2 linked regions of the Caenorhabditis elegans genome follow. The protein of the gene in region 1 purifies or fractionates together with the protein of each later gene. This does not show direct contact. Each region holds a gene or a part of one and is shown on either strand. Other genes may lie near its edges. The genes, in order: ref-1 and tra-1.

Region 1 (3,880 bases):
GGCAAAAATTGAGTTTCCAGCATCAGTGCATTTTTATACAAAACTTTTCTGGAAAATATTGCATGAGAAAAGATGACAAAGGAAGTTTGTATCGGGGGCACACCAGGCTAAAATGTACTGTTTCTAAATACTGAACGGCCAAATAATCGGCGAGATGACAATTCGCAGGAAACAACAGAGAAACCTCAAAGATCGGCAATTCTTATTTGAACTTTTGAGGAATTCGAAAATATTTGTTTATCACAAAAAAGGTTTACATTTCAAACTCAGCTTTAAATTCAAAATGCATTCACTTTAATGGAGATTTTTAATGCTTCAGGGTGTTTAGGGTTAGATTATCATCCGGAAGCCATTTCGAAAAATGTTATATGTTGAAAAAAATCTGCAAAATGTTCAACATGTTTTTTTCAAAAGGCATCAACTTTACAAAGAAAAAAATAGCTAGGTTACATTCGGAAGTTCAATTTAGAGCGGAAATACTTTCCTTGTGGATTTAAACCCTCTGAATTAGAAGTATCATTGTATTAACCATTTCCCACTAAAACACTAATTAGTCGTCTGTCTGGAACAAGGTGGTGGGAGAATAAAAACTGTCACATCATTCTATCGAGACACGTGGCAATGAGCAACCAATTGCCATGGGAAACAAGGTACCAGAATACAACACTATAATAGAGATAATAAATACTTTATTCTGCAGTCATTTAATCTTCAAAATCACTGAAAATCGGAAAATTCAATATAAATATTATGAATACTGAGGGAAAACAACAATTAAGGATTTATAAAACCTACCGGTAAGCTTAATAGCCCGTGACAATAAAACTAGATTTTGGTTGTGAGATGATAATGATATGATAAGTTGAAAAAGTCGATAACATTTTGAGGTTGATAAATTATTAATAAGAATATATACTTTTAACACTAAATTACAATTAAAGGAGATATATTTTTTAGAAAAGTTATTCCCATGGTCTGAACAGCTTACTCTTTCTTGAAGCTTTAGGATTGGAATTCGAGTTCTCATTTGGAGTGGATGGTGTTTCGATTGATGACGAAGAAGTATCGGATGATGGTGGTGGAGAATCCAGTGAATATGATGGAGACTGTTGAGATTTTGGACTTGTTGCCATTGGTGCCATTGGCATTGGGAAGAATGGGAATGGCCGGAATGGGAAGATTGGGAATGATGGTGGTGGAATTGGGATGGGCATGGATGGGAATCCAAAGAGTGGCTTTGGTGATAAGGAGAATTCGAAGAACTTTTCAAGGTCTGCGCATCGGACAACGAGGTGACGGTCGCTCTGAAAATATATTGATAACATTTAAAAAAATCTTCTCGAAGTTCCTGACAACTCACCTTGAAAAATTGGAAGGCAATGTTTTTTGCAGTCTTCTTTCCCTCTGCAATTGCATGTGCATAGAGTGACTGCTCCTGGTCGCTTCGACTAACAAAATTGTGCTTCTTGTTTTGAATGTAGGCAATTATGATATCCAGGGTGTTCAAGCGTTGCATTTTTTCGCTGAAAAAAGGAAAAGTTTAATTTATGGTATTGGGAAAATTTAAGCTTACACTTGATGAGATGTCATGAGCTTGTTCTCAATGATAAAGTTCTTCAAAGCATCAAAAGCTTCTCCCTGACGATCTCTTCTATCTTGCTCTCTATTCTTTTTCACTTCCTTTCTATCAATTGTGATTCCAGATTCCGATGTCGATGGAGAGCTTGACTGGGATCTATAGCTCATTGAAGAGTGGAGAATTTCCGACTCAGATCTTCTCTTTGATTTTCCAGATACAGTGCTCAGCAAAGATGAACGTTCTCGATCGAAAAACTGCTTGGCACGTTGCACAAAATCCTGACAGACATCTGAATTGACGCCCAGGGATTTGATGAAGGAATAAGTGAGCGACTCGATTGATCGGAATCCGTCAAAGAATCCTTTGCGATTTGGATTTGATGATGGTCCAGGTGATTCGGTTTCCATGCGACTGACCACTTCGACTGCACGGTTTAAGACATCACCTTGGCTGAAAATTAGTAAGATTTGAATGAAGATAACACTAAACGAATAGAAAACTCACGTCATTTTCTCATTATCCGATTCATTTTGAATCAATAGTTGAAGCTCCTTGATCTTTGCATTAATCTCATCTCGTCGTTTCTTCTCCTGTGATGTTTTTCTGTTATGAGCGTAAGCTGGTGGTGGGGTACTGATGAGGACCATTTCTGGAAAAAAAATTAAGTTTTTATTGATTTTTATAGCTCGATTTGTAAATGAACAAAATCAAGAAGGGAGAAATGTTGCGGAATTTGAGAAATATAGAGAAAGAGAAGGAGATATAGAGAAAAGTCATAAACCATTCGGAAGAGGGAGCGTGGCGATTTACAGTACCCCTCACTTCTACAGCACGCCTTCTTTTTCTAGATTAGAATCTTATTCGTAGAAATTTAATTGCCTTAAACCCTAAAAACCCACTTTTTGTGTCGTTTCGCCAAAAAAAATTATATCCCAATGGTTCCCATCACTATCAACCACAAAAGACGTGCCGAGTTATCAGTGTGGGAATCATTTGATAAGTGTGCATGGGAAAAAAGCACTTGAGTCATGACACAGTTTCCCACAACTCTTGACCATATTGGTTTGATAACCCCTGGTGAGAGGCGACACTGTGAAGAGCCGGGCGGATGCTCAGGCGGTACTAATCCTTTAATGGAGAGCTAGGGGTCCGACAAGGTGAGAAAAGGAAGTGAAACGGCAGACCGGAAGAACATGAAAGAAGTTGGTAAACAAGAGGGATCTACAGGCAGTAAAATGCATGGGGAGGTGTTAGAGTTTCAGATGTACTGTACTTGAGGTGAAAATTTGGAAGACTGATAGTGAGGTGAGACATAGAGAATTCGGGGGAAGAATGTTAAAATGAAGTGAGAATTGGTTAATTTAAGGAAAACTAGAAATTGGAAGCGCTACAGTAGCAATACTATTTCTGGTGAGGTAGAACTATGTTGCTACTGTAGCTGAAACTCTTAACCATAGCTATAGACTACTGTAGATTTGCTACTGTAAGACTCTAAAGAATTTAGGGCAAAAAATAATTAGGAATGTATACTAAATACACTTCTCAAAATCTCAAAACAGCTAAAGTAAATACTGGAACTAAAAAACAAACAAAAAAATGAGAAGAAGATGTATGAATGAAAGTAAATTCTGATAGCCCCCACTTGTTGACTAATTGCAACCGGACGCGTCTAGAGGCGGGGACCGTCTCGTTGGATGTGCATAGGCCACGCCTCCTTTGGCTGGCAGGCAACCATGGGAAAGGTGCAGGGAGAGAGGGGTATAACGGAAGTGGTGGGAATATAGGGGCACGTGAAGATGAGAGAACTAGTGAGACTGTGGGAAGATATAGGTTAGAGAGTTGAATTTTGATAGATGATAATGATATGAGTTCTTTTAAATTTGAATACGTTGGCAATTATTGGAAGACAAAAATAGGTACTTGCGTAGTGAATGTACCCTAAAAATTTCCTACATTAAAAAAAAATATTCAAGGTTGCATCGACAAACATTTTATACTTACGATCTACAAACTCAACGTAACAAAGTTGGTTTCATTTAAGTTCTAGGAGATCAACTTTTACAGAGATCAAAATAGTAGAATGTTTTGTTTTCTACGGTAGGGCCTGCGCACGCTCTATGACATGGTTAGAACTTTATTCAAGTCTGTAAGGCTTGTTTTTTCAGAACACAACTGTCTATTTGGCATTTACCGCCAATTTATTTCTCGTCTTAAACAAGCCTAATACAACTCAGGTTTAAAATTACAGAAAATACGTTTTCTGGAATTTTCCAACTTTTCAACCAATTATATGTGTATGTT
Region 2 (4,837 bases), on another chromosome or scaffold:
CAATTTTCTGATTTGCCGGAAATTTTTAAATTCCGGCAATTTTCCGATTTGCCGGAAATGTTCAACTCTGCCAATTTCACCCGATTTGCCTGAAATCCTCAATTCCGCCAATTTGCCGGAAATTTCAACTTTCGGCAATTTTCCGATTTGCCGGAAATTCCAAATTCTGGCGATTTGCCGAATTGCCGGAAATTCCAAATTCTGGCGATTTGCCGAATTGCCGGAAATTCCAAATTCTGCCGATTTGCCGGAAATGTTCAACTCTGCCAATTTCACCCGATTTGCCTGAAATCCTCAATTCCGCAAATTTGCCGGAAATTTCAACTTTCGGCAATTTTCCGATTTGCCGGAAACTCCAAATTCTGGCGATTTGCCGAATTGCCGGAAATTCCAAATTCTGGCGATTTGCCGAATTGCCGGAAATTCCAAATTCTGCCAATTTGTCGATCTGCCGGAAATTTTAAATTCCGGCAACTTTCCAATTTGCAGGAAATTTCAATTTCCGATTTTCCGGAAATTTCAAATTTCAGCAACTCGCTGATTTGCCGGAAATTTTAAATTCCGGCAATTTTCCAATTTGCCGGAAATTTTTTAATTCGGTTTGCCGAGCCATTTTTGCCCAAAAATTACAAAAATTTTTGAAAAAAGGCGGTGTCTAGAGTCGAAAATCGCCCGTTTTTTTAAATTCAAAAATTTTTTCTAATAAATGTATATTTATAAATTGTGGAATTTTCTATTTTCTGTGGAATTTTTTGGTCTAAAACTGAATAATTTCTCTAGAAAAGCTGAAAACGGGTGGTCCATCCGACTCCATCGGGCGATTTTCAAAGAAAAAATGTGGGTGCAAATGCGCTCTAATGCGAATTTCTTCCGCATTTTTTTTCGTTAAAACTATTCAAATTGCCGCCGAATCGCGCGGTCATTCTCAACGGAGCGCGATTTCCCGTACCATTTTCGGTTTTCACGTCGCCACCACCAGGTTGTTTGTCCTCCGAACCCATTTGCTTGGCCTGGAAAATTGTAAAAATTGATTTAAAAAATTCATGAGAAAATCCAGAAAGGGCCCAAAATTTTAGGGAATTTCTAGATAAAATCCCCTAAAAAATGAGCTTCTGACTGAAAAAATCCATATTTTTTTGCATTTTCAGGGCGTGCTAAGACCCAAATTATACTTTTCTGACCTCCTCATCAACCGCGGCGGGGGTGTGCTCGGCGGTGCCAGTGTAAGAGCAAAAGTGCACGAGAACTTCAAAATAATATGTATGTATTTTTATCGGAATTCTCTGTCTCTCGAATTTTGGATAGAACAACTCCTTATCAGTCGAGCGGAAAAAAAAAACGACGTGGCAGGAGCAGCAACAGCGCCCAGCGAAAAAAAAGTAGTGGCGGAGCAGTGTTCGATGATCAGAGGAGCAGAAATATTCGGGCGGTCTAGACGAGGTAACGGTGGTGATATGAACCCGAAAAAGGAAATGAGAAACATGTAGAGCTGAGAAAATTGAGAAGAAGAAGAAGAAAAATATAAATTCTCACGGTTGGACAACCCAGAGACGAGAAAATCGACAAGTTTTTGGCGGGAAAATTTGGCGATTTTCGAGGGAAAATCGATTTTTATATTTTTACAAGTGCTGTAAGAGTGTCTCATTTCGGCTTGATCTACGTTGATCTACAAAAAATGCGGGAAAAGAGACGCACACTTTTAAACTGATTTTGCATGGTTAAGAACGTGTTATTTTTTTGGGCAAAAAATTCCCGCAATTTCGTAGATCAACAAAACGTGATGGGACAGTCTGGCACCACGTGTTTTTATAGGACCGCAGAAAAAAGGTCCGGGGTGCCGCCGAAAAAATGTTCAATTTTCGGTCTGTTTTTTTTTTGAGCAAAATGAGCAAAATTTGAAAAAAAAAACCGGCAGGCCTGATTCAGGGGTGCGGGGTACTTGCCGGAATTGCCGGAAATAATATTTTGGAAGTGTTTTTGAAATTAGACGCCTAGACATGCATTTTTTTGACCCGACTACAGAAAGCCCCATTTTTTTCAGATTTTTGTCGTTTTTCCTGGGTTTTTTAAAGGAATTTCTAGGAATTTCTCTTCCCCGGAGCCTGAGCCTAGGCCTAAGCCTATGCTAAAGCCTAAGCCTAAGCCTAATCCGTCGCCTAAGCCTAAGCCTTAGGCTGAGACTAAGCCTCAGCTTAAGCCTATGTTTAAGCCTGAGCCTAAGCTTAAGGTTAAGCTTAAACCTATGCCTAAAAGCCTAATCCTGAATCTAAGTTTAAGCCTAAAAGCCCAAGCCTAAGCCTAAGCCTAAGCCTGAGCTTAAGCATAAGCCTAAGCCTAATTATAAGCCTAAAAGCCTAAGCCTAAAACTGCGATTTTCAAGCTCAACATGTTGTCAAACTCGAATTTTTAAAATTTTTAAGTTTGAATTTAATTCTTTAATTCTGATTTAATTCTGAATAAGGCTAAATTTTTAAAATACAGTTAGGTTTGAAAAAAAAGCTTAAAAAGTGGGAAAATCAACAAAAAATTGAAATTTCGGACGTTTTCAGTTCAATTTTAAGCGAATTTCGGTGAATTTTTCCGGAAAACCACTCCTGGTACGTGAAAATTCGATTTTTCTCAAATTTTTGTGATAAATCTGCTTTTTCGAAAAGTTTTTGTCTGAAAAATGTGCATTTTTCCAAAAATCTACGAATTTTGCGGTAGAGATACCGGGATTTCGCTAGAAATGTTCGATTTTTATGGATTTTTTTTTCAGCTTCACAAACTTACACACTGATCGACAAGCTCCACCTTATTCCACCCATTTGCATTCTTTTTCTTCGAGAAGCTTCCACGACGTTGAGCCTCGACAACCGTATCGGGATCCTGGAGAGAATTGATTTTTAACGAATTTTTAATGTGAAAATTGTAAAAATTAGTTTTTTAATTCAAAATTCCTCGAATTAACCTCAGTACTGGGGGCCATCATGCCGCCGTTTTCGTTGTTTTTGATTTCCTGTTGAATTTGGAGAGTTGCGTTGAAAATTGCTTGACGCGGGGGCTCTTGATGCTCCAAATAGTGTTGATTATTTAGAAGATGACGTGGCGAGCCTCCTGGCACATTCTCTGCAAAAAAAATCAATAGATTTGAAGGATATTAGGCAGAAAAATGAGAAGAAAATCTTTAAATTTAAATTTAAAATTCAAAGAATAGAGTTCGTGGTGAGACCCATCGCAAGAATTACTGCATGTTCCTTTAAAACTACAGTAAGGCTCGATTAATTTTAAAAACTTTTTGAATGAGAATTCGCCAATTTTTCAGTGAAAATCAGTAAAAAATTGGGAACTGTTAAATATAAAAATACATGACTTTTTCAATTTGAAAGTTTGGAGCCAAAAATTTTCAAATAACGGCGCAGAGAAATTAATTGTCGGGTGGGTCTCGGCACGATCGTGGTGAGACCCGCTAAAAACATGGAGAACAAATATTTTGAGTTTTCCAGAAAAAACAACGACAAAAAAGGAGTCAAGGCTTGGGTGGTTTTTTTTTTTGAAAAACCGTGCACAATTTTCAGTACTCGACTGATAGCACATATACATAGGAGAGAAGAACATCTAACCCCCTTGGCGATGCGAAAATAGCATACGAGACAGAGAGACGCCGTACATTGGTGGCGTAACTGATAAAAAACTGATAATAAGTCTCAAAACCACCGCGGGCACTAGGCGCCAGCGCCGAGAAAAAGTAAGAAAAAAATAAAAATGTTGAGAAGAGGGGGAATAGTACTGTATCTATAGCCACCGGTCTTTTTTTTTGGAATTTTTTCGTTTTCGCGAACGGAAATTCGCAAAAAAAGGGAAATTGAAAAAGTAACCAGTGAAAGTGATTGGGAGGATGATATATATTGATAAGGGAGACCGGTGGAACGTGAGAATTTTGAATTCCCGCGCTGGACTACGGTAGGAAGGCGAAATTGGGATTTTTTGAAAAACTCTGGAATTTTCGAGTAAATTTCGTCTAAAAATGGAAAAAAATGTTGCGAAAATATTCTAAATTTTCTTTGAGGCGACTGTAGTTTTTTTTATTATTCGCCAAATTTTGAAATTTAATGCAAAAAGGTGTGCGCCTTTAAAGAATACGGTAGTTTCATTTTTTTTTGGAGTTTTTTTTTTGCCCAGTGTTTATTGTTAGTTTTTAAATAAATAAATAATACATTTTCAAAAATTGATAATAAATACCGGAACAACGAAAGTTTCAAAGTACAGTAATTCTTAAAGGCGCAAAACCTTTTGGCATTCAAGAAAAAAATTTTCGTGCCAAGACCGAGTACCGTATTTCTCGCGGAAAAAAATCGCTAATAATCGCGTTTGTGTGATATTTTTCCGCTTTTAACATTCAAATCAGGTGTGGGCGGAAAACAATTTTTTATCGGCAAACGGCCAATTGGCATTTTGCAAAATGAAAATTCCGGCAAATCGGCAAACCGGCAATTTTTTCGATTTGCCGGAAATTTTTTGAGCAAATTCTATGAAAATATCTAAAGAAAACGGGGAAAAACTTCAAAAAGGCACAGTTTTAAGAGTTTCCGGCAAATTGATATCCGGCAAATCGGCAATTGCCGGATATGAGAAATTCCTGCAAATCGGCAATTTTTTCGATTTGCCGGAAATTTTTTGAAAATTGTAAGCAAACTCTATGAAAATATCTAAAGAAAACGGGAAAAAAATTCAAAAAGGCACAGTCTTACGAGTTTCCGTCTTATAAAAAATCTGTCTAAAAATTTTCGGCAAATTGATATCCGGCAAACGGCAAATCGGCAATTTGGAGAAATTGAAAATTTCCGGCAAATCGGCA

What was found.
Region 2: the proteins of ref-1 (region 1) and tra-1 purify together in Caenorhabditis elegans (affinity purification with western blotting, with the first as the bait; one study listed by BioGRID). This does not show direct contact.

Annotation. Positions count from the first base shown.
Region 1 is NC_003280.10:10,216,819-10,220,698, reverse strand, and holds ref-1 (Regulator of fusion ref-1), read right to left. Parts: upstream 2,229-3,880; 5' UTR 2,227-2,228; coding exon 2,084-2,226; intron 2,030-2,083; coding exon 1,574-2,029; intron 1,524-1,573; coding exon 1,361-1,523; intron 1,305-1,360; coding exon 963-1,304; 3' UTR 673-962; downstream 1-672. UniProt on the Caenorhabditis elegans protein: Probable transcription factor. Binds 5'-TGCCACGTGTCCA-3' in vitro, probably via the E-box motif 5'-CA[TC][AG]TG-3'.
Region 2 is NC_003281.10:11,192,093-11,196,929, forward strand, and holds the start of tra-1 (Sex-determining transformer protein 1), read right to left. Parts: upstream 3,110-4,837; 5' UTR 2,972-3,109; coding exon 2,951-2,971; intron 2,869-2,950; coding exon 2,773-2,868; intron 1,011-2,772; coding exon 950-1,010; intron 1-949. UniProt on the Caenorhabditis elegans protein: Plays a major role in controlling sexual phenotype. Terminal global regulator in a well-characterized cascade of sex-determining genes. Promotes female development. Interacts with tra-2 to promote spermatogenesis.